Oryctolagus cuniculus: one gene and its partners. The main gene of each other region encodes a partner of the protein of the gene in region 3 in a complex. Links are inferred from orthologs where the notes say so. Each region holds a gene or a part of one and is shown on either strand. Other genes may lie near its edges. The genes, in order: ACAP2, RUSC2, RAB35 and DENND1B.

Evidence for each region.
Region 1: the proteins of RAB35 (region 3) and ACAP2 are in contact, whole or in part, in a crystal structure (PDB 6IF3), measured with the Homo sapiens proteins. The link is inferred for Oryctolagus cuniculus from reciprocal best matches to the Homo sapiens genes RAB35 and ACAP2. Residues at the interface, in NP_006852.1 of Homo sapiens: Arg3, Asp4, Tyr5, Leu8, Ile41, Gly42, Val43, Asp44, Phe45, Ile47, Lys58, Gln60, Trp62, Phe70, Arg71, Thr72, Ile73, Thr76, Arg79; in NP_036419.3 of Homo sapiens: Val715, Ala718, Asn719, Ala720, Asp721, Val723, Thr724, Arg727, Leu728, Arg730, Met731, Glu734, Met735, Ser738, Glu748, Thr749, Gln751, Arg755, Asp756, Gln759, Met760.
Region 2: the proteins of RAB35 (region 3) and RUSC2 are in contact, whole or in part, in a crystal structure (PDB 6IF2), measured with the Homo sapiens proteins. The link is inferred for Oryctolagus cuniculus from reciprocal best matches to the Homo sapiens genes RAB35 and RUSC2. Residues at the interface, in NP_006852.1 of Homo sapiens: Asp4, Tyr5, Leu8, Phe9, Lys10, Ser22, Leu26, Asp30, Ile38, Thr40, Val43, Asp44, Phe45, Lys46, Ile47, Lys58, Gln60, Trp62, Thr76, Arg79, Gly80, His82; in NP_001129471.2 of Homo sapiens: Val997, Lys998, Asn1001, Asp1005, Val1008, Thr1013, Arg1015, Lys1020, Glu1119, Glu1155, Leu1158, Leu1159, Gln1161, Pro1162, Leu1165, Leu1166.
Region 4: the proteins of RAB35 (region 3) and DENND1B are in contact, whole or in part, in a crystal structure (PDB 3TW8), measured with the Homo sapiens proteins. The link is inferred for Oryctolagus cuniculus from reciprocal best matches to the Homo sapiens genes RAB35 and DENND1B. Residues at the interface, in NP_006852.1 of Homo sapiens: Lys10, Leu12, Ser17, Ser36, Tyr37, Ile38, Thr39, Thr40, Ile41, Gly42, Val43, Asp44, Phe45, Gln60, Trp62, Thr64, Ala65, Gly66, Arg69, Phe70, Arg71, Thr72, Ile73, Thr74, Ser75, Thr76, Tyr77, Arg79, Gly80, Thr81; in NP_001182144.1 of Homo sapiens: Met1, Arg4, Glu43, Ser47, Phe51, Val72, Leu73, Thr74, Asp75, Ile76, Glu77, Ser78, His211, Glu212, Arg213, Arg214, Gln242, His243, Ile244, Ile246, Leu249, His252, Leu253, Asp255, Tyr256, Cys258, Ala259, Pro260, Met261, Pro262.

Annotation. Positions count from the first base shown.
Region 1 is NC_091435.1:84,276,776-84,284,415, reverse strand, and holds part of ACAP2 (arf-GAP with coiled-coil, ANK repeat and PH domain-containing protein 2), read right to left. Parts: intron 4,338-7,640; coding exon 4,129-4,337; intron 3,460-4,128; coding exon 3,390-3,459; intron 1-3,389. UniProt on the Homo sapiens protein: GTPase-activating protein (GAP) for ADP ribosylation factor 6 (ARF6). Doesn't show GAP activity for RAB35.
Region 2 is NC_091432.1:198,510,922-198,518,561, reverse strand, and holds part of RUSC2 (AP-4 complex accessory subunit RUSC2), read right to left. Parts: coding exon 6,836-7,640; intron 2,110-6,835; coding exon 1,471-2,109; intron 1,251-1,470; coding exon 1,065-1,250; intron 964-1,064; coding exon 823-963; intron 1-822. UniProt on the Homo sapiens protein: Associates with the adapter-like complex 4 (AP-4) and may therefore play a role in vesicular trafficking of proteins at the trans-Golgi network.
Region 3 is NC_091452.1:16,143,100-16,150,739, forward strand, and holds the end of RAB35 (ras-related protein Rab-35), read right to left. Parts: intron 4,955-7,640; coding exon 4,830-4,954; intron 4,743-4,829; coding exon 4,618-4,742; intron 3,098-4,617; coding exon 2,969-3,097; 3' UTR 1,603-2,968; downstream 1-1,602. UniProt on the Homo sapiens protein: The small GTPases Rab are key regulators of intracellular membrane trafficking, from the formation of transport vesicles to their fusion with membranes.
Region 4 is NC_091444.1:13,952,103-13,959,742, reverse strand, and holds part of DENND1B (DENN domain-containing protein 1B), read left to right. Parts: intron 1-1,828; coding exon 1,829-1,878; intron 1,879-3,771; coding exon 3,772-3,891; intron 3,892-7,640. UniProt on the Homo sapiens protein: Guanine nucleotide exchange factor (GEF) for RAB35 that acts as a regulator of T-cell receptor (TCR) internalization in TH2 cells. Acts by promoting the exchange of GDP to GTP, converting inactive GDP-bound RAB35 into its active GTP-bound form.

The DNA of each region.
Region 1 (7,640 bases), on a different chromosome or scaffold from region 3:
AAAACCAACTAAATCTTTGTCTAAGGAGCTCAAATTAATCCCTGGAGAAAGGACATTCTCTTCAACAAATGATGCTGGGAGAACTGGATATCCACATATCACTACATTCCTAAATCTGTATATGAAATCCATGTAATTTGTATACCTTAAATAAAATTAAGAATTTTATAAAATGAGGGCATTTCACTCAAAAGTCAATTCTATAAAGTAAAACATAATGAGAATTCCCTATTTTCCAAAATTTTTATTTTGTATATTACTATAATTTTCTTATAAACAGGCCGGCGCCGCAGCTCAATAGGCTAATCCTCCGCCTGCGGCTCTGACACACCGGGTTCTAATCCCGGTCGGGGCACCGGATTCTGTCCCGGTTGCCCCTCTTCCTGTCCAGCTCTCTGCTGTGGCCAGGGAGTGCAGTGGAGGATGGCCCAAGTGCTTGGGCCCTGCACCCGCATGGGAGACCAGGAGAAGCATCTGGCTCCTGGCTTCAGATCAGTGCGGTGTGCCGGCCTCAGCGGTCATTGGAGAGTGAACCAACGGTAAAGGAAGACCTTTCTTTCTCTCTCTCTCTCTCTCTCTCACTGTCCACTCTGTCAAAAAAAAAAAAAAAAAAAACTTAAAAAAGATATTATAAACAGTAAAGTTGGGAAGAATATTTGACAAAATAATAACAGAGAGAAGATGGTTGTTATTGTCTTGAGGTAATTTTCCTTTTGTGTGCTTGTTACCTTTAGCTTGTCTTTAATACATGTTATTTTAATTAAAAAATAATTAAAGGCTTATAAAACTTGCCTTAACTGTATCCAATTATTTTTTGTTCCTAAACATAGTTGCCCAAACAGAGAGATTTCCTTCTTTCCTCCCCTTAAATTCTAGAATAAAGAATTACCAATGGAAACCTAATCTCGGTATTTGGCACTCTAGCCCATCTTTCATATATTCCCAAGGAATTTTCTTAAGATTCTATTTACTGCCCTATTTTCAGGTTTCTTTTTTACAATGTAAATTTTATTTTTTTGAAGCTCTACAACTGTCTCATCCACTTGACGGATTAATTTCACTCTCCTCTAGAAAGTCCTGACTCAAACAACTTCATTTCTTAGAACCCTCTACACTAATCATTCTCTCATTTGTTTGTTTGCTTATTTATTTATTTAAGAGACAGAAAGAAACTCTGGTCTGCTGGCTCACTCCCCAAATGCCTACAATAGCTGAGACTGGGCCAGGAGAAAGTCAAGAGCCAGGAATTCCATCCACGTCTCCCACAGAGGTGGCAGGGGACCAAGTACTTGAGCCATCACCTGCTGCCTTCTCAGAGTGTACATTAGCACAAAGCTGGAATCAAGAGTTTGAACTAAGATTATTAGGTGCTGGGGCCAGCGCTGTGGCGCAGTGGGTTAAAGCCCTGGCCTGAAACACCAGCATCCCATGAGCACCAGTTCCAGTCTCGGCTGCTCCTCTTCCAATCCAGCTCTCTGCTGTGGCCTGGGAAAGCAGTAGAAGATGGCCCACGTGCTTGGGACCCTGCACCCGCGTGGGAGACCCAGAAGATGCTCCTGGCTCCTGGCTTCGGATTGGCGCAGCTCAGCTTGTTGCGGCCATCTGGGGAGTGAACCAGCAGATGGAAGACCTCTCTCTCTGTCTCCATCTCTCTCTCTCTGTCTTTCTAATAAATAAAATAAATCTGTAAAAAAAAAGATCATTAGATGCTTACAGCTGTTATCTAATTCTTTTTTTACATTTGCATTCACTCCCTCAACATGACTGAAAGCTTCTTGACTATCTGAAACCATCTTCTAATAGTTTTCTATCCCTCCAATGTGGATAGCACAGTGCTATTTATGATTCTCATCTGGTGAATTAATTGAACACAAAGAAGCCTATAGTCAGACAAGTTCTCTTCAACAAGTCAAAATGATGTAAACCATTTTCTCTTTATAATTTATTTAAAAGTATTTCCAAATATTTGGTTTAAAAGTTTCAGTCATTTTTTTAAGATACCAAGATGTGTTTCAGGGCCAGCACTGTGGCACAGCGGGTTAACACCCTGACCTGACGCGCCGACATCCTATATGGGCTCTAGTTCAGGACCCGGCTGCTCTACCTCCGATCCAGCTCTCTGCTGTGGCCTGGGGGAGCAGTGGAAGATGGCCTGGGTCCTTGGGCCCCTGCACCCGCATGGGAGACCTAGAGGAAGCTCCTGGCTCCTGGCTTCGGATAGGCACAGCTGGGTGGGGAGTGGACCATCATATGGGGTACATCTCTCTCTCTCTCTTTCTCTGTCTCTCTCTCTCTCTGCCTCTCCTCTCTCTGTATAGCTCTTTCAAATAAAATAAATAAATCTTTTTCAAAAATGTACTTCAACTAAATTTCTCATCTGAATCCACCAAATTCTTATCTACACACAAAGCTAATGCAGGAATTAGATTTTTGTCCCTCATCCCCTATGTTCTTCCCCTTTGAGTTCACAACAATTCATGGAATCTATCTAAATAGGGTTTTAGCTGAGAAGTCAATTCATCACTTTCATACTTTCATTTAGAAATTTCAATGACACAATAATTCCACAAAGTAAATTTACTTTACATTAAGTGACAAAGGTACCAGTTTATCTATAGATTGAAATAAAGACACAAGCAGATTAAAAACACCATTTTCTGATAGAAATAAATGTAGAATATACTCTAATCCTATTCTACTTTCTACAATATGGTAAACTAGATGACAGGAAATAAATTCACTGTAAGGTATTCTGTAAATCTTATCAGAAATCCACTAATAATCTAAAAGTATTAAAAATATTTCCACGGATATGAATCCTCAGACACAGAGGAGAAAAGAAAGGCCTGGTTTGGTGACATCTATCCTGACAAATGTCAATTTGCAAATGGTCCTATGCTAAAATAACCCAATGGTGCCAATATGCTATACTAATCCATTATGTCACTTACTAAAGCAACAAGAAAGTACTTCACAAAATTTAGGGAGAAATGGAATCAAAAGAAAATATATATCATAGAAAAACTATACATGGATTTCAAAATAATTTTGAACCAACATTAATTCATCTTCTGGAGAAGTTCTCTCCTATCTTTTATATTTTTAATATGAATCTAATTACAAAAGATGGCACAGAATCTGATTTTTTGAAAAAAAAAAATCACAAAAATTTAGGGACATTGATTTTCTTAAAGAACAAACTGACTTGCAGCTAACAATGCTACATAAACATAGCGATTTTAAAAATCTATTATTAAAAACACCAATTTTCCAGTCTCAGAAGTTTTCCAGTACAAGAAGTTCATTGTCAGCATAAGAAACTCATAAATTTTTAAACTGTTCACTTTTATGTGAAAATACAAAATATTTTTATGTAACATTTATTTTACCTTTAAAAGTTCAGGCTCCCAGGTGTCTAAAGTTAAAGATCGCACTTTTGAAAAATGAACCCCAAGACTCCTAAGTGGAAAGAAGAAAACTGCATTAATACATAAAACTATCAAGGCACAGTTTGCATATTTATACAAATTATTTTTCTATTTTAAAGTGGAATGGGTTCTCATACAGCCTGCAACACACATTTAAACAGGGATGATCATCTGATTAATTATAATGAATAGTGCATAGGGCCAAAGCTGTGACACAAGTTAAGCCACCATCTCATATGGGCACCGATTCAAGTCCCCACAGTTCCACTTCTGATCCAACTCCCTGCTAATACACCTGAGAAAGCAGCAGAAGATGGCCCAAGTCCTTGGACCCCTGCACCCACATGAGAGACCTGGAAGAAGATCCTGGCTCCTGGCTTTGGACTGGCCCAGCCACGGCTATTGTGGCTATTTAGGAACTCAACCAATCGATGGAAGATATCTCTGTCTGTCTGTCTGTCTGTCTGTCTCTCTCTCTTTCCCTCTGCCTTTCAAATAAATAAATAAATCTTAAAAAAAAAACTAGTATACAAAAGTTCTCAGAAGCACTTTACAAACCAGAACTTTATCCACTTTACAAAAGATACAAAATGATAGTTAAATTAGAGAAGTGAAAAAGACCCTCTAACAAATGGAACATAATAATTAATAACGTATGTTTATCCAAAAGCAGTCTCTCACTCTGAGCAGGTATACTCACCTGTGAATCCCAGAGCACTCAATGCACAAGGTGATGCCTAAGTTGATGCTGGCCCACCGTGGATCTGCCAGACCACAGTCACAACAGCTAGCATTCCCAGGGATACACTGGACCCGCTGCAGTGCACTTTCTCCTTTTAATAATTTCTCTTTTGACTCATTTCCAGAATCTAGGCTTCCTGTGGATGGAGATGATTTCTTATCCAGCTTCTAAAAGAATTAAGAATTATTGCTCTTTAAAAAAAAAGATTGTAATATCAAGTTGGACATTACATGCTCCAAACAAAGGCTTCCAATCAATAAATTAAAGGCCTATCCTGGGATAAAACAGGGCACTATTACAGGCACTGGAGATTCCAGGATGAAAAGATGCAGGTTCCTAAATCAATGGATGTTTAGTGTTGTAGGGAGAAACATATAAACATGTATATATTAAAAATTAAACATACACAATGAATATATAAACAAAATAGAAAGATAGAGAAGAAAGGAAATTCTAGTCTATCATGCAGAATGGGAGCCAAAGGGAATAGATAAAAGACTATCAAGACTCAATAATAAAATAAATATTATTATTTTATACACTGTTTTACCAATGAATTATAAGTAAGCTATTTTAATTAATGTAGTGAATAACTAGAAAAGGTACAGTCCTATATAGTTAAATACTAAAGAACATATCTACTGCCTAATTACAATTATAGAGTGAATCAAAAAATACAAAGTCTAAAGTTTCAAGGGCTATTAGGTAAACCAGGAAAATAGCAAAAGATGTCTAATAAGCAAAAAGTTAATTTTTAAGTGTATAGTGAAGTCTATACCAATAAGAAATAGTATTTTATAAGCATTGCTGTATACATAGAAATAATGATCAAATACAAAGATGTGGTTCACAAATCCCAAGCAATAAAAGATAAGCCTATAAAAAAGTCTTCTGGTATAAAAACATTCTAACCTTAATAAGACAGCAGTTTAGTACAAAATCATTAGAAAAATAATTTGGGAGACGGGTATATGGCACAAAAAGTGAAGTCACTGCTTAAGACCCCCACATCCCATATCAGAGTGCTGGTTCAAGTATCGACTACTCCGCTTCTACTGCACCTGGGAAGCAACAGATGATGGCTTAAGTACATGAGTTCCTGCTACCCTTACATTGGAGACCCAGTTGGAGTTCTTGGCTTTTGACTTCAGGCAGGCCCAGTCTTGACTATCGGAGCCATCTGGAGAGTGAATGAGCAGGTAGAAGGTCTCTGTCTCTCTCTCTCTGTCTCTCTTTGTCTCTCTGTCTCTGTCTGTTTCTGCCCTTCAAATAAATAAATAAATAAATCTTCATATATACAAAAAGAAAACATATTTTTGGCTCGTCTTGCCTTTCCTAACAAAGTGATCAAAGCGAATTCAACAGCCACTAGGTAGGGTCTAGCAAGCTTAAGTATGGAGACAAGGTATTCCAGAGACAATGAAGCCAGGTGAGAAACTTATCTATAGACGAGTGAAATCCTGAGAATGCTGCTGGATCCCAAGCAGGGTACGGAGGATGTCTACACAGGGAGACAGAAGAGCAAGGAAATGGAGGCCTAAGCGGGGAGTTGGGGAGCACTCAAAGAGTACAACCTAGTGTGAGGTATCAGTCTATGTGTAGGGCTGGGCAGTCAAGACTATGGGTCAAAATCTACAGAGTTAAGATACATGTAAGTATATTAAAGATAAATGGAAGCCAGATTTATCACTATAGAGAATAAAGTTATTTATATGGGAAAGGAGAAACTAGAATGAATTCTGTTTATCAGATTGGAACTGGAGATACCAATAGGCACAGAAATGGTTTTCATTTTAGTAGATAAATATAAATGTAAATGTAAATGTGTATACGTGTGTGTATATATATACATTATAAACCTTATCTTGGTTTCTAAATACCATTTTCCACCAAAAGAAACTAAGACACTTCATGGAGAAATGGATGATTTCATTGGCTAGTGCAGAAAAAGCACAAGATGAACCTGAAACATCTTGTCATGTAGGAAGTAAGGAAATATTTAGATTAATAGGGACAAATCAAAAGAATACACAAGACAGGGGCTCTAGTGGCTAAATAACGATAATAATGGGTTATAACACTTTGAATAAAGTAGGAGTTTATGCTAATAGAACTAAATTTTGTCATAAATTAAATTTTAAAATTGGATGAGGAACATAATATTTACATAGTCTCAAAATACCTCTCCTACAAGATACATGCTACCAACAAAAATTAAAATAACCTTTGGTAGACAAGCCTAGGAAGATATCACCTTAACCAAGTAATAAAAATTGACATCATCATCAGTGGTATAAATCAAAACGTGTGCCATGTAAGAGAATGCAATTAGAAGGACACAACAATATCATTGATATAACATTCCTGCCAAAGATGAATAACCTCATGAGTAAACATCAGGCAAGTTGAGGGGTGCTCTAGTCTGTCATTTTCCTAACTACCAAGGGCATAAGGTCAAGGTAAGACTGAAGAACTATTCCTGACTGAAGGACATTTAAGAAACATGACAACCAAATGCTACTTATGCTTCCAGACTGGCTATTTTTGCTGTAAAAACCATTACTAGAAAAATCTGTTAAAACTTTAATGACATTTTGAAATTAGATCATAGTGATATATTAATGTTTATTTCTTGACTTTGACAACTGGACCATGATAATACCCAAGAATGTGTTAGATGATGGGACAGACACACTCATTAAAACAATGATGCATGGGGCATCATGCTGGTACCTTACTCTCAAGTGGTTCAGGGGAAATATTATTTGTACTGTACTTGGAACTTCTCTGTAAGTTTTAGTTTTTTTAAATGTTACAAAAATAGAAATATAATTTGTTTTATTAGAACATGTTTCATAATGTAAACTATGATAAAAGCAATTATCATTCAGAGAAAGAATTTCAGTGTAATAATACAGAAATCAAGTTAATTCTCACCTTCTGACCATATACTAATGTTTTTGCACTAGATTCGAGAAGCTGAACGTTTCCAGCCATCTCAAGAAATACAGCACTGAACACAACACTTATTCATGAAAACAGAAGGAATGTTAGTTTAAGCAGCAGCCAGATCCCAGCCAGGGCCCCCATGCCATTAGACTGCTGTCTACACAAAAACACAAAGGAGTGGAAGTTTATTCTCTAGAGAAGTAAAACAGTGAGTCTGCATGGGTTTTGCCTGAAAGGTAGAAAACAGGTGATTAAGTGAGTGTATACATAACTGCTACAATTTAAATGTCCCCTCCAAAACTCATGCTGAAATAAAATTGCCTCTGTAACACTATGGTGGGATCTTTAAGAGGTGAACAGGTCATGAGGGCTCAGCCCTTAGGAATGGGTTCGTGTTGCTGAGGGGTGACTTAGTTATTTTAAGAGGTTTGCTGTTAAGTTCCATTCCCTCTCACTCTCTTTCTTGCAGGTTCTCACTTGCCCTTCTACCATGTTATGAAGCAACAAGAACACCTCACCAG
Region 2 (7,640 bases), on a different chromosome or scaffold from region 3:
AATCCCAGATCAATCCAACAATTAGCCTTTTCTACGGAGAAACTAGGCTACTCCCTGCTCTTGGAGATAATCCAGGTCCCTCACACAAGTGCCAGAAAAGGGTGATTCTTCGATATGTGCCTTGTCAGCACCCTCTGCTCCACCCTCAAGTTGCCATGCCAAACCTTTGCCCCTCTTCTTCAGCCCTTCGTCCTACTTCCTGCAGAGAACAGAGGCCACTGGTCATGAATTCCTTCAACTTCCCTCTCCTCCAAGACACATAACTGTACTGCATCTGCACCCCTCTCCCTCCATTCGCGTCCTGCCCAAGGTTCTTTCCTTTCTCTGCAAGGGACTTCCACTTCACCTTTCTCTCGTTTCACAGGCTCCTCTGTTCAGCCCACATTTGTGATTTATGCTCAGTTCTTCCTTCAGTAGCTCACTGAAACTGCTCTAACCTTGGTTCAGTTGGCACTTGGCTGCCTTCCCTGCCTGTCTTCCTCTTACTAAATGTCACCAGCACACTTAGCAAAGCTGCAGGCCCGGGCCCTTGACCGAGAGCACTCAGTTTTCTGGCACATGCCACCTCCTCCCCCATCATGCTTAGCTCACTCAGGGAAGAGCCTGGTTCGGCATCTGAGAAAGGACCCTGGCTCACTCACGGTACACTAACAGTACCCACGTGACTGCCTCCAGGCCCAGTGCTCTCCAACTCCTTCCTGGCACTTGAATTTTAAGACAGGGAAATATTCCCTGTCTTAAATGCCCAAAGTAGGGCAGCAGCATGTATAGGTGAGTAGTGTGATAGCAGCAACTCTGACCTGAGCTCAGGGTTCTAGTCACCTTTTTTCTGAAGCAGGTCAATGGAAATGGCCTCTGAGTTGCCATCTGGGGACAGACAAAACTCAGCTGGGGGCTTCTCAGTCAGGGAGAAGGGGTCTTGGAAGTCAGGGCAGGTCAGTGGTAATGGCTTCAGCATTTGACCTGGAAAGAAGAGAAAAAAATCAAGTTCAGGGCCTCCAGCATGCTCCTTTGGGACTGAGCCCTCCCCACCACAGCAGGGTCTGGGAACCTTGCCCACACACCATTCAGCCGGCAGTTCAGATGGCCAGCAGCTGGGAAAGAGCCAGGAAACTCAAAGATGGGGTTCCTTCGGGTCAGGCGCGCTTCCTGTGGCCTTCGGTCTAGGCTGCCTGATAAACCAGGTGGCCCTAGTGGGTTCTTCCTCCTGTATTCGCGCCACTTGAGGGCTTGAGGGGATAGGTGGTTGGCTGGAAGTAGATCAGATTAGCAGAAGAGACAGATAGGCAAGAGTTAGTAGGAGACAAGGTTTCATATCCACCCAATGGACCCATGTGAAACACCAGAGTTAAGACTATGTGGACATTATCCACAGGTGCTGGGGACAGAGGTGCGAACATTTTAATCTCTGACCCCCAAGTCAGAGCATAAAGACAGAAGTGCTTGGGGTGGTGGCAGTGACGCGCATACCGTTACTGGGCCTGGAGGCCATGCTGCCCTCACCGCCTCCCCGGGCCAGGCTCTCTGCTCGGCTGAAGCCAGATCTCCAGGAGCCCAGAGGTGGCAAGCTTCCTGTTCCATGGAGTCGGTACTCAGCCAAGGTCAGTGTCTTCTGATCTTCCTGCTGTGGCAGCTGGGAGGTGGCAGGCCGGGCAACAGAACAGGGGTGGCTCCATGGGGCTAGGCTGTCTGTGGCTGTGGCCTGCTCTGGGGGAGGGGAGCACGAAGTGGAGGCAGAAGAGTCAGTGCTGGGCCCAAAGGGGCCAGCACTCCGGATGGGGGAGTAGCTGCCCAGGGGTGATGGCCGTGAGGTCTCTGGCTCAGGCCCAGCTTTCCTGGCACCTCGGCCAGAGGTTCGGGGTGTGGACGCCTGTGGCTCCCTGGAGGGAGCTGGGGCTGGGCCTTGAGCAGCAGGGGCAGCCAGTGGGGCAGGCTGCTGTGTACGGCTGCAGCCCGAGAGGCTGTAGAGCTGGGAGAGGTTGTGCAGGGCCCGAGCCTTGGCCAGCTGCTTGGGGAAGTGGTGCTGGAACACGAAGGGCTGGATGGGCAGTGTAGTTGGCCTCTGCTCCTTGCTGTAGCGAAGGACTGGTCGGCTTTCAGCACCACCCCCTGTAGCAACAGGGATGGAGAGGATTCAGATAGGCAGACACTGAAGCCACACGAGAAGAAACAGAAGCAGAGATAAGAGACGAGGCCCACTGGGGAAGGGGCAAGACAGGCAGGACCTGGGTTGCAGGAAGTGAGTGGGGTAAGGCTAATCCCAGCGCGCGGAACATGCCACTGCTGCCCACTTCTTTTGGGAGACTCTTTCCTGTGTTTTGCAATCCTGCTGTTTCACACCTCTTCATTTCTCAAATCTAAAGATGGTGTTATCTTACGGCTCAAGTCTTACACTTTCCCCTTGCCCAACTCCCGTCCAGGCTTTCCTACAGGTGTCTCCCAGGCCCACAGCGTTAGCCTTGCCCTTCCACTTGAGCTCTAGATCACTCTGCTTTCGGGCTCTGCTTTCATGGACACATTGTACCTTAAAAGAGCTCATCCCGTGCCTTTGCCCCCTTTTCCCAATGACTTTCATTCCTGTCGATGGCAGAACCAACGTTTTCTCTCTCTGTGGCCTAGAGACTTGGGGTCCGAGTCAGGATTTTTGCTCATTTCCCCACCAGCACATTTCGTTCTTGAGCAAATCAAGAACTCTTCTTTCTTTCTTTCTTTCTTTCTTTCTTTCTTTCTTTCTTTCTCTCTCTCTCTCTCTCTCTCTCTCTCTCTCGACAGGCAGAGTGGACAGTGAGAGAGAGAGACAGAGAGAAAGGTCTTCCTTTGCCATTGGTTCACCCTCCAATGGCCGCAGCGGCCAGCGCGCTGCAGCCGGTGCACCGCGCTGATCCGATGGCAGGAGCCAGGTACTTATCCTGGTCTCCCATGGGGTGCAGGGCCCAAGGACTTGGGCCATCCTCCACTGCACTCCCTGGCCACAGCAGAGAGCTGGCCTGGAAGAGGGGCAACCGGGACAGAATCCGGCGCCCCGACCGGGACTAGAACCCGGTGCACCAGCGCTGCAAGGCGGAGGATTAGCCTAGTGAGGCAGGGCGCCAGCCCTCCTGTTCTTCCAGCCGGTCTTCAGGTCCACGTCCCTAAGAACTAAATACAGGACTCCAGGACCGATTGTGGTTCTGACACTGCGCACATGGTGAATGCTGGAATGAACACAAGGTGGCGCTAGAAGCACTCACATGGTCTAAAATCCTGGGTGTGGCTCACCAACCCAGTAGCTCAATAACTGTACTATGCCAGGAATCAGTATTCTTACTGGGCAGATCAGGACATTTGAAATCTATAGCGATTAAGTTATTTGCTCATGGTCACACAACTAGAAAGTGGCAGAGCTATACTTCTGTGTAAGCCAGAGTCTGAGTTTGGGCCTGTGTCTTTTTTTTTTTTTTTTTGACAGGCAGAGTGGACAGTGAGAGAGAGAGAGAGAGAGAAAGGTCTTCCTTTTGCCGTTGGTTCACCCTCCAATGGCTGCCGCGGCCGGCGCACCGCGCTGATCGGAAGCCAGGAGCCAGGTGCTTCTCCTGGTCTCCCATGGGGTGCAGGGCCCAAGCACCTGGGCCATCCTCCACTGCACTCCCGGGCCACAGCAGAGAGCTGGCCTGGAAGAGGGGCAACCAGGACAGTATCCGGTGCCCCGACTGGGACTAGAACCTGGCGTGCCGGCGCCGCAAGGCGGAGGATTGAGCTGTGGTGCCGGCCGGGCCAGTGTCTTTATCACATACACTTCTCAGGCTGGGTTTTCCTGTCCCTTATCTTTTATTTCATCAACAAGTCACAGTGGATGGGACCCTAACCCATTAGGGAAGTGGGTCAGAATCACTCCCAGGGGACATATTAAACTAAGCCCTCCTACCATCCCTAGTCAGCTCTTAAAGAGCAAACTCTGTTACTCTCCCTACTCGCTAGGCTCCAGCCCTACCTGCTTCTGGTCTTAAATACACCAAATTCATTACCTTCTCAGAGCCTGCTGACCTGCTGCTGTTTCTGCCTGACATCTTATCATTCAGCATCAGCTCACAAACCACCCCTTCAATAAGACTGTCACCGGGCAGCCCAGTCCCTGTGGCAGACTGCTCTCTACCCCATTGTTCCATTTCATTTTCTTTGTAGTCCTTTTCACCATGAGAAATTATCCTTTATGTGTTTATTGCTTATTACTCTTTATAACAACTCCAAAAGAGTTGTGATTTTTGTATTCTAATTGCCATGTCTTCAGTGCCTAGAGCAGAGCTTGGGGCACGGCAGGAACTAAAGGCTGAATCCTCAGCATCACTCCTCACTCAGCCCAGCCTCGTGGACCTAGACTCGGCACATAACTGGCTAGCTTCCGGAAGCACCACATGGCACATCTCTACACCTGTCAGCCTTGCTGTTGCCCTCCCACTCCCCTCTGTAAGCACACTGCCTTTCCCCCCTTGGATGTCTTCTTCCTCTCCACTTATTTAAACTCAATTTGTCAGGCTGAGCTGACCCAGTGTCTATCCCCAGTCAGCTCAGGACAGCTTAGAAACCAAATTTCACATTTGTCTTCTGTTATTAGTTTTGTTCTTTCAAAATTTGGTCAGATCCATTTGAGTTTACTGTCTCCTCATCCTCTTCTTTTCACTTTTTTTAATTAAAAAAAAAAAAAGGTACAAAATCAAGAAAAGAGCCCTGTAGTGCATTACCGAAGAGCTCTGTCATACAGCAGCGTCTTGGTGGGAAAAGTCTCATCGCATAGAAAAAACCACTTTTACGCTCCTTCTCCACCTCTGATCAGGACTTGCTTGCCCTGAGGATGCTAGCACAGCATCCCACCAGCTGCTCCCAGCAGGCCCTGCAGTCTGAGAAGGAGCCGCTTCTAAAGGGCTCTGGCCCAGGCTCTGCTTCTCCCCCAGAGACTCCCTCTCCTCCCCTTTCCCCAAGGACGTCTCCACTGTGTACTTCATTGTGTGGCCTTTTCTAATGGATTGTGAGCTCTGGAAGTACATTTGTGGTTTTTAAACCCCTCTGAGAAACCAGCAGACCCAACCTAAGGCTATGGGCACAGCTGTCCGGGAACTTGCTGCCCCTGCCCTCTACCCCCACCCCCATCCCCTCCTTCCCAAACCCTCTGAGATACTTCTGAATTGTTTTCAGGATTCTTCAGCCTTATCTTAGATGATCTCTCTTTAGAACTTTTTTTGTTGAACCTCTTTTTTTTAAAAAAACTTTCTCTTCTTTTGGTTTCTGTGACTTTATTCTCTCCTGGTCTTTTTTGAGAGCTGACCAGATCACCCCCTGAGTCACAGTATCCCCAGCCTTGTCCCCTTTATAACTCCATACACTCTCCCTGGATGCTGTCACCCATTCATTTAGCTTCAACTACTACTTTTATTCCAATGACTTTCCAATCTACATGGAAACATCTCTTTTAGTCCATCTTCCATCTAACCAATGATCTTTCTAAAATGCAAATCAAAATATGCTGGTAAGCAAAGGAAAAACCCACCAAACAAAAAAAGTAATTCCCAGTTTAAAACCCTTCAGGGGTTCTACCCCATTCTTCCATGACTATACCAAATTACCGTATTTGTAGCCTCTGGAAAGCATCAAGCCCTATGTCTTTGTGACTCTATCAGCCCAGAGGGTTCTTCCTACAAGTCTCCACAAAACCTATTCCTGATCATCTTGTGAGACTGGGCTTAAACGTAAACTGTGTAAGTGGTTCTTCCTTGACATTTCAGTCCTAGATATCCCTTCTCATCCACCAGTACCACACACTGCCAACTCTGCATTTCAACTTTGTTTCCTCTTCTGTTTCCAATTTTAGCTGAAATTCCTTGAGGACAGAGGTGAAATTCTTACAACTTAATAAAACAGGGAAAGAATTGGCTTTGGGAGGGGCTACCTGGAGCTTACGGCTCATAGGTCAGGTCTCGGGCTCCTTGGAGAGTGGTGAAAATTACTGATCAAAGAATGAACTTCACTGGTATCCAGTGTGGTTTTCCTGTTAGACATATCCCTTGGTGGTCTCTTAGGCACTGAAAATTACAAATTTCCAAAATTGAACAACCCTGTTCCTCTTTCAGTAAGTCTATTTCTGTGTTCAAATGCTATCTGACAGGGCCGACGTTGTGGTGCAGAGGGTTAAGCTGCTGCTTGGGATACCTACATATCAGAGTGTCTGGGATGGAGCCCTGCCTCTGCCTCTGCTTCCCATGCAGATTCCTGCTGACGTGCCTGGGAGGCAGCGAATGGCGGCTCAAGTACTGAGTCCCTGCCTCCCAGCTGGGAAACCTGGATGGAGTTCCTGGCTCCTGGCTCTTGTTTGGCTCAGCTCTGGTTGCTGCAGGCCTTTAGGGAGTGAACCAGTGGATGGAAGAGCTCTCCCTCTCCTCTCTGTGTCACTGCCTTTCAAATAAGTAAAAATGAATAAACAGTTATTAAAAAAAAGAAATTCCTCTTGGGATTTTCCCATAAACAAATAAACAAAAACAAACAAGAAAAACCAGACCTTATTCAAGCTACCATCATCTTTTTAGGAGTCATCCAGGTTCAGAATCACCGCCTTTTGAATACTTCCTTTTTCAATACATCAGTCTCTAAGTCCTGTTGATTTTTATCTCCTTGGTGTATTTTTTTCAATTCTCTATCTTCCTCCCCCTGTTCCTACTCCATTATACTATAGCACACCCTAGACTGGAAAGATAATAGATGGAGACTGAGGAGTCTCTAAGTGGTGCAGATGGAAGGGTTAGCGGGGACCTATCACAGAGGAGGCCATGCATATATCCTGGTAATCTCTAGTCTTTAGGTTCCTTACCGTCAGCTCTAGCTCTTGCATCCCTCTGGGTATGGCTGTTGGCTGGGCTCCCTGGGACAGCAAGCCCTGGATCCATCAGTGGAGCCAGGGGGCCTTGCTCAGCAGCTCTGAGGCCAGAAGGTGGCGTCTCACTGGACTGGGGGCCCTGGCAGACCTGGGTGGACCAGGGTTCTGGACCGAGTAGGTCTATGCCTGGTCCCAAGGGCATGGGTGGTAGACTATGGCTACAGTGAGTGCCCTTATCCAGTGGGGCCGCCCTGTCTTGCTGGGCTTCTTGGATGGGTGAGAACTCCTGGGAGGTGTCCCCGACGCTCACCCGAAGTGGGGGGGAGCCAGAGCCTGCAGCCTTCTTCCGGCCTTTGGCCAGTTCAGCAAAGGAGGTGACCCTCCTGGGTGGGGAGCTAGGCCCTGCCAGGGCTGCAGGGCCCTCACTCAAGCGTACTGGGCAACTCAGCATGCGCTCCAGTGAGCCCAGGCGGACAGCAGGGCTGCGCTCCAGGCTGCGGTCATAGCTGCGGGAGCGCTGACGTCCCGTGCTGAGGTTGGGGGGTGACGTATTCGTGTACACTTGTCCCTCTAGGATAGTGGGGCTCATGGCAGCGGCTGCTTCTGCCGAGGAACCCACTGCCTCTTGTTCCTCTGGCTGGACTTCGGGCTTCTGGAATAGGTAATACTCAGAAGGCTGGCCTGGGCCTGGTTCTGGGCCAGGGCCCGGTGGGGGACTTATCTTGGTGTGCTCCTCCGAGCAGCTGGTGATGGAAGAGCCAGCCGGGCTTGGGGAGGATTGGGAGGACAGGTCACAGGT
Region 3 (7,640 bases):
GCCAGGAGGGTCTTGGCCTCCCCACTGTAGCCTCCTACCCCTTCACGCCACTTCCTGGCGCAGCCGAGCAAGCCCAGGCCACAGGATGGTCCCAGAGGGATCTGTGGTCCGCCGCCCCACACCTCGAGGGCAGCGTTGGCACCACTGCTGGGTACCTCCTGACACTGCCCACCAGGCCTGGAGGGACCAGGCCTGTACCCTGCTGCTTCTGCTCCTCGCGCGGCAGCCACTCCACCTTCTCTGCACGGGCCCAGCTGCTCACCACTGAGTCGGTCTCCCTCCCTCCCGGGGAAAGCACAGCAGGGAAGAGCGGAAAGAATGTACCTATAGATATGTACATACCACAGTGCTGGGATTTTGTATGTAGCAACCGTGTAAATACATGTATGGATTTTATAATATACATATATAAATCTATAAAGGCATATTTTTAGATAAACAGCGCACCACTGCTTCTTTTGAAAATAGTCTGAATAAGAATAAAAAGAATTTCTACAGAGCTTCCTGCCTCAGTCACTGGATGTGGGAAGGGTTGTCTGGGCTCCAGCAGCTGTCAGAGCCCCCCCCCGGCTGCTATGGAGGCGGCAGTCACGGTCCCTGCCCCTTGGAGGCCACCCCCTCATGGAGTCTGCCAGGGTGGGTCACTGCACCCTCTCATCTGGCTCGGCCTCCGTGTCCAGCCTGGCCCTGGGCTCCTGGCCAGAGCTGCACTGCACTGAGGCAGCCCTCCCGCCCAGCACCACTTCCCAGGCCAGAGCAGGGCCCTAGAGCGTGGCAGAAACTTCCAGCCGGAAGCATTACTCGAGGCGAAGGCTTCTGCCGCACCCTCCGGCCTGTGGAGAATCAGCACAGGCCTTCCCCTGGCACCTGCCCGCGTGTGCTCCAGCCAGTGCCAGTGCGTCAGAATGAGGGGACACAGCCTCGACCACGTGTTCACGGAGAAAACGGACTTGGCTTCTGCACGTGGTCCAGGGCCTCCAGAGGCACCTGCGCCAAACTCAGGCCCAGAACAAGAGCTGGACACAATGGGCGGGAAGGAGCCAGGCCCGCCCAGGGCACAAGTGGAGGGAGAGCAAACAGACCCTGCAAGAAAATTTGGCAGCTTGAACCTTTATTTTTAGTATTTTTTTTAAAAAGCATAATTAGAAACTTTCAATACAGAAATAATCCTAGCAAACCATTTAAAAGTTGTATTGTTTGACATGAATTTCATAGCCGGTCCACCAGGACGTCGGTCCAGCCCCGAGTCCCCCACCCCCCCCATCCCGTTCATGCGTGTAACCCTCCGTGTGACAGGCACACTGTCATCCCACGCTCACCCCTGCCACCTGGGTCTGGGCGTCCAGTTCCCACAAGCTACATGGGTGTCGAGCCAGGGCTGGAGGCTCCCACGACCGCCTGTTGCTGCTTGACTCTGCTCAGAGGCCACCACAGGCCAACAGCCAGCTAGGACAGTCCTGAGCACAGGACCCCCACTTCTGATCCCAGCTCCCCTGAGCCAGACGCAGCACCCCGCACCCACCTTCCCAGGCCCGGCTCACCAACCCCAGCCTGCAGCACAGAACCCCCGTTTTTGGCAGTATGGACAAGTGGAGAAACAGGTGAGAAGAAACCCCCAGTTTTTATTGATTACAAACCCATCCACAGTGTTAACATGGAGAATCTGCAGCGTGATCTGCAATGTGATTGTCCAGTGAGGGCTTTGCCTGAAAATTGCCTAGGAAAGGAAATCTAATAAAACACATCATGGTGCTGAAATCAATTCTTCCCAGCGTACGTGATCCCTTTAGGGGAGAGGGGAGGGACAGAGGGGCAGTAGTCGGGGGCAGGTCACAATGGTTTTTCCTCCAGGGCACTGCCCTGTGCCACTCCTCCCCACCAGTGGAGATGGCCTCCCACCACCTTTGTGGTCGGACTGCTCTTGTCGGTGGTCGTGTCATCCCCCTGCTGTCCGGCAGCCCTGACACCACGGCCCCATGTCACAGTCTCCTGACACCAGTGGCAGCCCTCTCTTTCCCAAGAAACAGCCAAGAGCCCCACGGTGACAGGAAGCCATTTACTTTGTCTAAAAACCCTGGGCCAAAAATGCAGTGGCCACAACCTTTGCTGCTGTGCCAAATTTCAGGGACAGAAAATAATTGTGAGCAATTTAATTCACTTGATTTGGCTTCATTTTCTTTACCTGTTAAAGTAGTCTAATGCCCACTGTGCGCCCCATCTGCACACGCAGCCCTGCCTTCCTGCTGGGACGGAGACATGCTGGTATCGCTGAGAAGCTGGGCTCCCCTGGGTCTGTAGCTCAGAAGGGTCTAGGAGGCAGGACAAGAAACCTGTTGGCCAACAGCAGGACTGACTTCCTCTGTGAAAGCAGACGGCAGGGCCTCCGTCCAGGTCAGGCTGCCCCAGCTCCCAGAGCAGGTCTGGGGTCAGGATGGGTTGGCACAGGCCGCAGAGAACGGGGAAAGCCTGGAGGCCGGGGACAGAAGCTGACACCTGTAGGAGAGAATAAGCAACGTGGAGCCCACTCCACTGACCCAGGTTGGCCAAAGACGTGGCCAGAACGTGATGCTGTCCCCTCAGGAAGCTGCTGGCGGTAGGGTGGACGGGAGGGCAGCAGGAGGGTCTGTCGCAGCAGGCTGGCATTTAGGAGGCAGAAGCCAGAGCAGGACGAGGGTGTGCAGCTGGTTAACGCAATTTACACTATGTACAACGGGTTACTCGGTCCGCTCGGCTGGCAGCGTCCTCGCCAGGTCCAGGCGCCTTGGCTGGGGAGGAGGGCACCAGGAGGGAAGGGCGGGCTCGTCCAACGCCTTCTTGGCACTCAGGGAGGGGAGGAAGTGCCGATGGCGCCTCCCGGTACAAAAACGTGGAGAGAATTCTTTAAATAACGGCACGGAACTGAGACCGTCCGCCGAGGAGCCCCTCGGGCCTCGGGCTGGGGCCGCAGTGCAGTCTCTGCAGGCGGGCATTAGCAGCAGCGTTTCTTTCGTTTACTGTTCTTCGTGAGCTTCACCACGTCGTTCTGCTGCTGCTGCTGCTGTTTGGCCAGGTTGTCTTTCTTGGCTCGGAGGACCAGCTCTGTGATGCAGTTGAACATCTGTGCGGGAGACAGAGGCAGGGCCTCAGGCCTGGCGAGGACGCCTCCCTGCCTCCCGGGCCCGGCTCTGTCTGTACTTGTGAATTTTTGTACACGTACCAGTGGTCCCCGTCTTAATGACGGTTCCACTTAGAATTTTTCGGCCTGATAGTAGTGCAAAGGCAATATGCACTCCGTAGAAGCCATACTTGGAATTCTGGGTTTTGTCTCTTCCAGGGCTGGCCACATGGGCCCTGGGCAGTTCCACCTTCACGAGGGCAAAATGCACTTTGCAGTGAGCCGTGCTGCTCCGCACACCTAGCGTGTTCACTTAGGCATTCAGTGCAGTGCTGACTGCGGTCCTGGGACATCACCCCACCTAAGGCAGGGAGCACCTGTGTGTCCTCAGTGCCCTTTCTAGAAGGGGGTGGCGAGTTATTTTAAAGCGAAAAAGGAACAACATCAAAGCACCAGGAACTGTGCAGACTTGGGGAAGTCAACCTTGGGGATTTTCCTGCCTTTCTTTTAAGAGAACCCCTTCCGCTGGAATCTTCCAACAAGGCAAAGGTCTTTGGGGGAGACAGAGCCAGGGTGGGCTCAGCCTGCCACCCCATGGCATCTGAGGCCCAGAGGTCTGGCCTTTCCCAAACCACCTGATACCTTCCAATGCCAGGACCCAGGAGAACTACCTACAACCCACATCCCTGCATTCAGCCAGAGCAGCAGGTACGAAAAAGCTGAGCCGTGCGCTGTGTGCAAAGCACTTGCTACCACTCACCACAACCTGCAAGAAAGGGCTCCCACTGCCCCCAGTCCACAGCTCGGAGAGCTTACATCCTGGGTTTTGACCCTAGCCTGTCTCAGGAGCTTGGGTGGCCTGTGTCCCCCATGCAGTGGGGATCCCAACTTCTGGGGCCTCTCAACACCACACGCCAGGAGGCAGGGCTCCCCTTAAGACCAGTGAGTGGCAGCAGGCTGAGCCTGTGGCAAAGGTCTGGCTTCGCTCCCACAGGATCACAGCGGCTTTCCAGCAGGCCTGGAGGTGCGGAGGGGAAGCCGCCTCTGCTGGAGGGGGCCTGGGGGCCACAGGAAAGCAACCTCATCTCTGCAGGGAAACCAAGGCCACAGAGGATGCTACACAGGAAGGCGTGGCAATCCCGGGGACAAGGAGGCCCAGGAGATGGGGACTGGAGTGGGCTGTGCGTGGCTTTAGCATGGGAACAGTCTCACTCAGCCCCTCACAGGTGGGTGCTGTTCCATCCATTATTGACACACCTGGAGCCCCACCACCCCTACCTGAGACATGGGAGTAATTCCAGCCCACCTCGGGACTACTGAGACACACACTAAGACCTTGAAAAGGCCTGGCCCAGTACCTGACACACAGTAGGCACACCCTGAGCGGTGCTTACCGTGACGCTCTGTTGCTCACTTAGATGCCCCGAGCAGGCCAGGAGTGGGGAGGGGAGGGTTGTGTGGCAGAACAGGCTGGGTCAACCAGGAGGCATGCAGGCCCCGCCCAGGGCCTCAGCCAGACTCACCTCTTCCACGTTGACGTTCTCCTTGGCACTGGTCTCAAACAACTGGATCCCCATCTGCCCAGCAAATTTGTAGGCATCTTCTGTCTCCACCACCTTCCGCTCAGGGTCGTCATTCTTGTTGCCCACTTCAAGGCAAAAAGTGGTCAGCCCAGCCCTGCAGGAGCACCCCGGCCACCCATCTCACCATCCCCACTCATGGGGCCCGGCCTCACCTAGTATTCGGCACACATCGTCACAGTTCTGGTTGATTTCATGAAGCCACCGCTTGACGTTCACAAAGGACTCGGCACTGGTGACATCATAAACCACAATGACCCCGTGGGTCCCCCGGTAATACCTGGAGGGCGAGAGTGTGTCAGCTTCAGCCTGCATGAGCAGCCACTTCACCAGGTCTGTGTGTCTACAAACAGGTCCCTGTGGCTGGCGCCTGGGCAGCCACGGGCTCCTCACACCTGTGACCGGGGCCGACCCCTGCTGCTAGCGTGAAACCTCTCTGAAGCTGTTGCTGTTAGAATTCAGGCGATTTTTGTATTTGATGTCAGATCTTCCCTGTCCTCTCTGGACACTCAGGAACCACTGCCTTCTCAAGGCTGACTTAGAGAGATGCCTTTCCAAGAAGTCCTGGCCAAGTGTGCACCTGCGGCAGCCGGGCACTTCCAGCTGTGCCATCCTCCAAGTGCACAGAGCCCGGCCCAGCAGGGTGCGGAAGGAGGAGGAGCCACACATTCCTCCTCAGCCCCTGCGTCCCGGGAGCTCGGATGAAGGGCGTCAGGCCCAGGATGAAGAAGAGGACCAGGGCCACCTGTTCCTTTGCGACAGCCAGAGACCAGAAAGCACTGCTGCCGCCAACACCACGTAACTACCCTGTGCTGTCCCTCAGAGCGGTTCCCTAAAGCTGCCAGAACCACGGATGCAAACCAGGAGGGCACAGGTGGCCACCTGCCTGCCCTGAGCACCTCCCAGCTTCTGAGGCGATCAGTCCCTGCCCGGAGCCCAGTGCAGAGGCCGAGACGGGAACTGAGTGAGGGTGGGACTGCCAGGCAGTGGGTACAGCTCCATTCTCATCCGTGCCCTTCAGCTCTCTGGCACACGCTTCACATCCAAGGCCCGACCAAGGCCCAAGATCAGCCCTGGTTCCATCCCCAAAAGGCTGTGGACCATGGCCGCATTCCTGTGTCCACCTCACCAGCCCCCGTTCCCTCGTCACTACAACAGGGAACCTTGCACTTAACCCTTGGGGCAGCTGGAAGGAAAAAGGGGGACGAAGTGCCTGCAAGGCAGTGTGGGTGTGCTCGTCACCAAGGTTCCCTCAGTCTGCACTCCCAGACAGGTAAGAAGGAGGCAACCCCAAAGGCTGCAGCAAGCAGAGAGCCTCGCTGTGCCCGGGGGTCAGCCCCACCCCCACCCTGCCCTGGCTATCTCCACCCTCCCCAGGTGCTGGGTTCTGCCCACAGCTTTGCTCCAGAGCTACGGTGCACCTTGGCTTTGGGAGAGCCAGCACAGTGGAACTGTCTTGCTGTGGCTCCAGCCCCAAGACAGCAGGGCTGCCGCCGGTGTGGGGCGCAGACGACTGGGGTGGGAGGGGTGCAGCGGGAGTAGTGCAAGTGCCTCACCCGCTCCTTTGCTGACAGCTGGCTGTGGGCATCACTTCTGCTGTATCTGGAGCAAAGAATGAGCCTGGGGACGCAGTCAGGGGCTTGGAGCAGTGGCTCGGAAGGCGGAGGCGCTGCAGGACCCCATTCCCATCCCCACCAGGAATCACTATCACTTGCTGAACTCTGCTCTGGGCTGGGCACCGTGCCGAGCGCTCTAGCCTCCGCTTACTAACCGGGCTAGGACCGTGCTGAGCGCTCTAGCCACCGCTTACTAACCGGGCTAGGACCGTGCCGAGCGCTCTAGCCACTACTTACTAAGTGCTGACAAGCTGGACTCCAGGGCCAGGGGCTTCCCTCCCTCCTGACTCCACCCCGGCCAGCAAACCTCGGCTGCTGAGAGCGAGCTGGGAGGGGGACGGCAGCCCGTGAGGCTCACAGCAGCAGTTTCATTTTCTCTTTTGAATGCCCCGAGTCTGCCGCACCCCGACTGACCTGCCGTGCAAACCGCTGACCTCCCCAGGGCGCCTCTCTTCACCAGCCACCACCACAGGGCACCGAGCTCCCTCCTGCCTCATGGGGGCCACAGCCAGGGACCCTGGGAGACAGCCAACCCTCAGCTTCCATAGACAGCAGGCCGAGCAGCCAGGGGCACCCTGGAAAAATACGTTTTGCCTCAGGCAGCTGAGTAACTCCTCCAAGTCTCCCCAGTAGAATGGGGAGCTGGCCCAGCCTCTGCCCTGCCCGTCCCACCCGGCAGCTGACTTCAGGCAGCAGAGGAGGGGCTGTGGCTCCAGCTGCTGAAAGGGCTCAGGCACCCCAGGGTCCGCGGCCCAGCCCGAAGCATTCCTCAGGGCCACAGGGCTAACTGTGTCTGCCACGCTGAGTCCCCCATCTGGTCTGCACCCTGCTGGGAAGCACTGACAGAGGCCATATGCCCCGATGCCAGGGTGTGGGGGCAGCAGGGAGCAGGGCTGGGCTCTGGGTCAAGGCCTGTGCTTTGGCATCACACAGCCCTCAGTTCCAGTCCTGCCTAATCCACCAGGTTCTGGCCCTCTGCCCTCTCTGGACCTGTGTTCTTGTCCACAGAATGCAGAGGAGCCCAGGACTCCTAATCAGGATTAAATGAAACCAAGCAGGTGAGGTCCTTAGCCCAGAGGAAGGACACAGTGAGGTCAGTGTCCAGACCTGCAGACCCCAAGCCCACTACAGGAGGTCTTGCCCTGCTCTGGCCCAGCTGCCCCAGGCTCCCTGAAGCTCTCAATGTCAAGTCCATCCCGGGGAGCCTGGCCCCATGGTCATCCTCAGTCCTCACTGGCAGCTGCTGAGACACACAGTGGGCCCAGAGCCGACCACGGCGTGCATGCACAGATTCCTGCTAGTGCGGCCCACGGCTGACCACTCCCTCTGCCAGCAGCCCCACTCTCCCGG
Region 4 (7,640 bases), on a different chromosome or scaffold from region 3:
GAGTGCGGAGGTTTAAAGACTTGTCCCCTGAGGGATGCTTCTGCCAGTTGGGAAGCGAGCTGAGGCTGTTTTGCAGAAGTGTGTGCATGTGTGTTGCTTGTGGAAGAAGGGAGGGGGAGGGTGTGAAAGATGGAGCAACTAACTGAGATGCATTCTTCTTAATTTGAGTCTTAAAATTGATGTGAAATGTATTACTACTTTGGACATATTTAGAGACAAATGTTGAGATTTACATGTATATTCTTTATTATCAAAATTATGTGGTCAGTTTTGCAGGAGGATATGTGAATAATGTTCGTATGTGTAGTAAATATGGTATATGGCTCTACTTTAGCAGCACAAGATAAAGATTAAGCAGTGGTGAAATGAAAATGAACTGTTCTCATTGGTAATGAACACTTTTTCAGCCTAACTAATTTATTTCAAGCTTAATGACTCCTTTAATTGTGCTTAACAAAATATTGTCAGTAGTAAAGTAGTTAGGGCTCTCTAAATATGGAGTTTGTGCCCATACTTATGAAGGTGCATGTTCATAGAAAGCATTTTGCCCTAAAGGGCAAAAAATGTTTATTTATATGGTGCTTTTCATTCTGCTTCTGTGAGTTAAGGCTCTTGAAGCTTTCTTAGGTGTTGGTACTAGAATTTTACAAGGTCTTAATTTTAATTGATATCTTATTAAAATCTTTATTTTAAATGAATGCAAGAAATTCTACTTTAAAGCACTCAATACTATATGTATAAACAGAGCTTAAATATTCAGATCCTGATTTCCTTTTATGTAAGCTGTGTTGGTAGAGGTGGTAGATAAGGTATTTTTTTGAGAATGCTGCTACATTAAGATATTTGCTGTTATTTCTTTTTAATAGGAAATACATTCATAAATTTCTGCCTTGTAAGCTTTCCTGGCTTTGAAATTGTATAATATTGTGCTTAATTCTAAAATTAACTTTTGAGTCAGAGTTAATTTTATATTTTCTATGTGTAGCAAAATAGATAGTTTTATTTGGTGGCAAGTGGTTGACAGTTATTAGCATTTTGTTATAATTGTTGGTGCATATGCTCTCTGAAAGGTTTTACGATTATTTTATAATGACTATAAAGTTACTGAAGTTTTAAAATCAATCAGATTAGTTTCTAAGTTTAATTTGATGATTGATTTTCATATTAAGCAAATCTTAAGTGTAAGCACATAGAATAGAAGCTGTGGTTTAATTTAAAGTTTTGTTTTTATGTACACATTTATGTGAGAATGTTTTAAGATAAAACTTAGTATCAAGAGTTGAAACATACTTGTGTAATTGTATTTATTTAGCTATAGAAAATCTTTTTTTTTTTTTTTTAAAGCATTTGTCTACAGGACATAGTGGTGGTGGTAGACTTCTCAGTAAATTCATTCTCCTGCCAACTTCATTCCCTTTTCTCTGCCTGCATTTTAATTGAAACAACATTTATATTTTTGAGCCAGGATCTGTCAGAAGTCCCTATGGCTAGTCTGTAGTACAAGTAGCAGCAGCCGTGGCTTACCCATATGGTGCGGTGCTTCTTGTAAAATCCATATGGCCTTGTTGAAGGGAATCCCAGCGGGGATGTGAAGGGTGTTAATACCCTTCAGGCCAGGCCTTTCCCTCCTGGGGCTCCTGTGGCATTGTCAGTGCAATCTGCCAAAGCCCAAACGTAATTCCTTTTTAATAATCAATTATTTTAGTCTAGGAACCTGTGCTATTTTTCTCAAGGAAAAAAAACTTTTTTTCATAGAAAATGTCTTTAAAAAAGTTTTAACTACATCTTTTAAAAATGTTCTAAAGCTTTTTTTTATTTGCATTTGTAGGAAGTACTACAGACTGTGCCAAAGTTCTGTTTCCCCTTTGACGTTGAAAGGTATAGTATAAGTCATTATTTAAAATAACTTTAGCTCATTTTAGTGCACACTATAAAATGACTTTATGTGCTTTTTTCTAAAATAAAATGAAATGTGTGTTCTCTTCGTTGCTTCTAACAAAAAGGGCTAGAGATTCAAAATTAAATAATATTTGTAGTGAAGAAACATTTTAAATCATTTATATCTTTTGTTTTCTCTGGTGGCCATTTAGGAAAAGTCTGAAATGTATTGTCAGTAACATCTATTTCTTTGCATTATCTATCAGTTACACATTGTAAGCACAAGGAAAAATATTAATATGTCCTTGATGTCCTTAGAATTGTGTCTTTTAAAATTAGATATATCTATCCTGGTTTCTGTCTCACTTCACCCTAATTGAAAAGACCATCTGTGTGATGCTGTAACACTCCTGGGTTGATGTCTTCCAAGAATAGCTTTATAGAAATACTGCAATATTGTGGAAGGCTATAGGGAAACCCTGCTAGCAGTTTGAAAATCTCATTATATTTGTATTTTACTGAACAAATACTAAATGAACTACTTTTGTGTAGTTGAGATTTAATAGAATATATAGCCCTTTGAGCATAATAACATCATTTATTGTTTTTCATGTAATTTTCACACCCTATTATCAGTTTTCTTAAAAGTGTGGTATGAGGGGTAGATAAAAGAAATTTTATTTTAGGGAAATATTTTGCTAAAGTAAAGATTAATGAAAGTCTAATATTTTAACCATATTGAAAACAAAGACTTCCACCTGATTGGCTGATGAATAGTTATAAATATTGCTGGTAAATGATATTCCTTCTTTTACCTTATTTCTGGGGAATCAATTGTGTTCCCTGCAACCCCTGCCAAGTTACAATTTTCCAATTGATAATAATGATAAAATAAAGGAAGTAAAGATAAAAAGATGTTATTATAAACCTTGGACAGTGGAGGGCACATTAGTTGTTGGTGATTTTTTTGAAGTTCATAAAAGTTTTTAAAGAACTATTCCTTAACATTATATTTTAAAAAATACTCATCATTTGAGATGCAAGATTTCCTGGCTAAACAGTTTGTAGTATTGGTATAATGTTTGTAATTTATTTCCATTTTCAAAACCAAAGCTGAAGTATTATGGATTATATAATTCCTTACCAGGAAGTCATAAGATAGTTTACCTTAAGGTTTCATAAGACTAAATGCAGTCATAAAATATCCCAAAGGCTATCAAAATGCTATTACTGAAACTACAGAAATAAGAAGCTAGACATGATGACTGAGCCCTTTTGCTCAACCCTAGCCTCGCTTTCCCCAATTACACTAAACCTGATTAGATAGCAAATCATGTTGCTGCAGCTTCTAATGGCAGCCTCCACCAATTCTGTTTAATTGCTTCTTATGTTGACATTCTCACCCAATAAAGTACCACACAAAATACTCTTGGTATTATTTCTTGGAATTCTCTTTGAAGGCTACTAACATGTTAAGGAATAAATTTCTAAGTACAAAGTAAGAATATAATTTGTATTTTAAAAAAGCTCACTGGCTAAGCTTTAAAGATTTTTAGCTAATCTTGAACTGTCATATGTGTCACACTGAGGTGTAAGAGGCAAGATAAATCATTAGATGAAATATTTATATTTAAAAATATATGCACATATTTTCTGGCTATAATCTTGACATCAGACAACCAAAATATAATATCCATAATAATTCAGCTTTGGTTTTGAAAATGGAAATAAATTACAAACAAGATACTATAATTTATTATGATATGAGACTAATGATTTAGTTTATACATTTTCTACTCAAATGAATGCCACATATAAATATGTTTTTGCTTGTTTTTCTTCAAGAAAATTACCATAAAAGGCTTTGTATTTCCTAATCTTCCTATATTTTAGGGTGTCTCAAAATCAAGTTGGCCAGCACTTTACCTTTGTACTGACAGACATTGAAAGTAAACAGAGATTTGGATTCTGCAGGCTCACATCAGGAGGCAAAATCTGTTTATGCATCCTTAGGTGAGTATTTGTTGTTTTAAAAAAAAACAAAATTGATGCAAAGTAGATTACTCTCTCTCTCGCATTTTTTATATATGGGATGCAAGAAAAAAAATCACTTCTTATAGTTCGTTTTTTTCCTTTATAAATCCAAGTAATTTGAAAAAGAATTTTCCTTACTTTCACCCATCCACGTACTGAACAGGCCTGACCCTGCTTAGCTTCCGAGATCAGATGAGATGGGGCAAGTTCATGGTGGTATGGCTGTAAACTCCCTCCTTTCTATATACAGAATCCGTTGGGCTTAAAGACTTACCAATAACATACTCTAATTTTGCTTGAAGGACCTGATTCTTTTAATGATTTTTTTTGTGGATGATTTTTGAAAGTTAAATATTTATATGAGTTCCAGTAATGTGGGTTTTGCACCTTATATAGGTTGCACAAAATTCAATTAAATTATAGTATGCCCTTTTCTATCAATGAACCAGAACTTGTATTTTTTTTTTTTAAGATTTATTTATTTACTTGAAAGAGTTACACAGAGAGAGAGAGGCAGAGAGAGAGAGAGAAGTCTTCTATCCACTGGCTCACTCTCCAGTTGGCTGTAATGGCTGGAGGTTTGCCAATCCGAAGCCAGGAACCAGGAGCTTCTTCCCGTCACCCAAACAGGTGCAGAGTCCCAAGGACTTGGGCCATCTTCCGCTGCTTTCCCAGGCTATAGCAGAGAGCTGGATCAGAAGAGGAGCAGCTGGGATTCCAGCACTACAGATGGCGGCTTTACTGGCTATGCCACAGCAAGGCCCCAGAACATATATTTTTGAAAGTGAATTGCTACTTAAATGCAAAGGTTGCAAACTCTGATTCTAGGCAAAAAACTGTTTAGATATTTTTGTCTAGCCCAATGGGTATTTTAAAAAATATAAAACCTTTTGGTAACCTTATAAGCTTTAGGAAGTTTTATATAAAGTTTATATTTCTAATTCCTTCTGAGAAGTGGAATATCTGCTACTTGTGTTCCTGCACTCTCCAGTGGCTGCAGAAAGTTAGAACTTCATAGCAGGCCTTTAGCTGTGTAGTGAGCTTGTAGGTTTCCACAGGTCCTTCCTGTCCTGCCTTCATGGCTGACGTCATCTGCTTTGATGAGCAGGAGGTGAGAGCATCTCCTGCCTGCAGACTTTGCACCCCAGGGACTCGCTGTTGAGGAGGAAAGAGTCTAAATGTTATTGTCCTTGTAGTAAGTCTTGAAAGCAGGCATTGAAATGTGGTCCATAAAAGTAGCGAATATTTGGGGGGTGAACCAACAGAAGGAAGACCTTTCTCTCTCTCTCTCACTGTCTAACTCTGTCAAATAAAAAAAAATCCAATTAAAAAAAAGTAGGACTCTAAACAAGTCATATTGAGTACTGGTCAACCTAGAATCTATAGAGATGCTAATAGGAAAAGCAATAACATTTGATCTATAAATTAACATATTACAAAGAAAACTTTGATATAAAATTGCTGTTTTCTCTATTGGCTATTTACCTGTGTTTTTATTATTCATTGAGAATGAAGTTATTCATTTACTCAGGACAAACTTAGATCTGGAGAACTTGTTTTCAGTCTTTATTCAAAAGTAAATGCTTAACTGCTTTATAAAGTGATATAATGCTAATATGCCTTCATTCTTTCTTGAGGCATAAATCTTCCATTTCAATAACAATTGTATTTAAAACATATTTTATTCAAAGCTCATTATGCTTTAAATTTGTAGATTGATTTTTCTAACTTGGAACAGGTTGGCAGGGCAAAGGCACAGGGATGACAGAGTGGGGAGTGGTTGGGAGAGTGCCTTGTACCACTGTGCTTCAGGCTCGGGTTCAAAAGCTACAGCTTGAAGGGGAGCATAATTCGGGGCACTGTGCCTGATGATTTATCCTGGAAGAAAACCAAAGCTGTGTATGATTTCTTATTTTTCTCTATGAATTTTGGAAACTTTTCATTAAAAGACATTCACGTTTATAGAAAAGTTTCAATAGTTTAATGAACTCTTGCATAAACATCACCTAGATTTATCGGTTGCTAACAGGCATATCTCTGCTCACTCTCCCTTTCTCTCTCATTGTACATACCGACCCACACATGAACAAATCTTTCTTTCTCTCTATTGTTTTTCTTGGCACATTTGAGACTATCCCAGTAGTCTGTGTGCTGGGGTGTTCTTTGAGAACAGCTAATTTAGAGCATAGACTATAAATTAAGACTAAACAGAGAATTCAGATATTATGGAATTCAGCAATTCAGAAAGTTGTTGTAGATAAGTAAATATCTATTCCTAAGTTATAATTAGTGTTTGGAAAATCTCTGTAAATGCTGTAGTGAGAGGAATAATGATGTTTTGGGTCCTGGGTTTTCCACCCATTTTGATGGTCTTTCACCACATTATATTTGTCTTTGTAATTATTGAAAGGAATGATACAATTTTAATTATAGAAAATTCTGAATGTGCTTGAATAATAAAATTAATGTTTTGGCTAATGGTTAAGATGCCCACATCCCATATTGGGGTTACTGGGTTTAATTCCCAATTCTGCCAGCTGACAGTAGCTTCCTGCCAATACTGACTCTTCAAGATCCTGGTGATGGCTAAAGTAATTAGATTCCCGCCACCAGTGTGGAAGAGCTGGATTGAGTTCCTAGCTCCTTACTGTGGCCTCAGTCCAGCCCTGGATGTTGTGGCCTGTTGGGGAATGAACCAATGGATGTGCATGCCCTCTGTCTCTGCTTCTCAAATAAATAATAAAAGTTTAAAAAAATATATACTGTTGACTTTTAAGCAAATGATGGTGGCAGGCAAAGTTTTTACATACCTAACATGGAATCCTGAAACCTGAAAGACTGGTGTATTTGAATACACAATAATGAAAACTTCTGTTTGGTGACAAATTTATAAAGAAACTTTAAAGCAAAAAAAATAAAGTGCTAGAAATATGTTTACAACCACTGTAACAGAGTTAATAGCCAGATACATAATAATTGTTACAAGTTAATAAAAAAGAGCCCAATAAAAAATAAGTAAAACATCTGAATAAGTTACAGAGGAAATGTGGATAGTACATTCACCTGTAAATGATGCTCACAGCCTTACTGAGATATGAGAAATAAGGCTATCAAGATTGGCAGAAATGGAAATGTTTTTAAAATATCACAAGAAGTGCACATCTTTACTATCTGTAGGACTATAAGATGGCATCACCTTTTAAAGGGAAATCTAATCATATGTATCAGATTTTGGAACTCTCATACTCCTTGACTCAATGCTTTCAGTTGTAGGAATTTAAATCCTGGAAATAGTCGCAAGACGAAACAGAGAAGTATGAACAAAGTTATATATTACAACATGTTTTATAATAGCAAAAATATGTTAATTGGCTAGATGTAGTCATACGTACTTCAGAACATCATGTTTTATGTAATAAATACAATTATATCTGTAAATTGAAAAAACATAAATTACAAAATGGTGATGTGACTGTGTCTCAATAGCAGTTGATTAGGTGTGTTATGGTACATTCCCCAATAACCCCTTTGTGCCATGACTTTTCTTCCTCCAAACAGAATGTTACCTCCACAAGGGCAGAGGTGGTTTTTGTTCACTCTTACAGTCCTAGTGTCGGCAGCAGTTCCTGGCACATAAGGAACTCTTAATAGATTTAATAGATATTTGCTGAATAAATGAATGAATGACGCTTAATATGATCGAGTGTTATGTATCTTTTAGGAAAAAT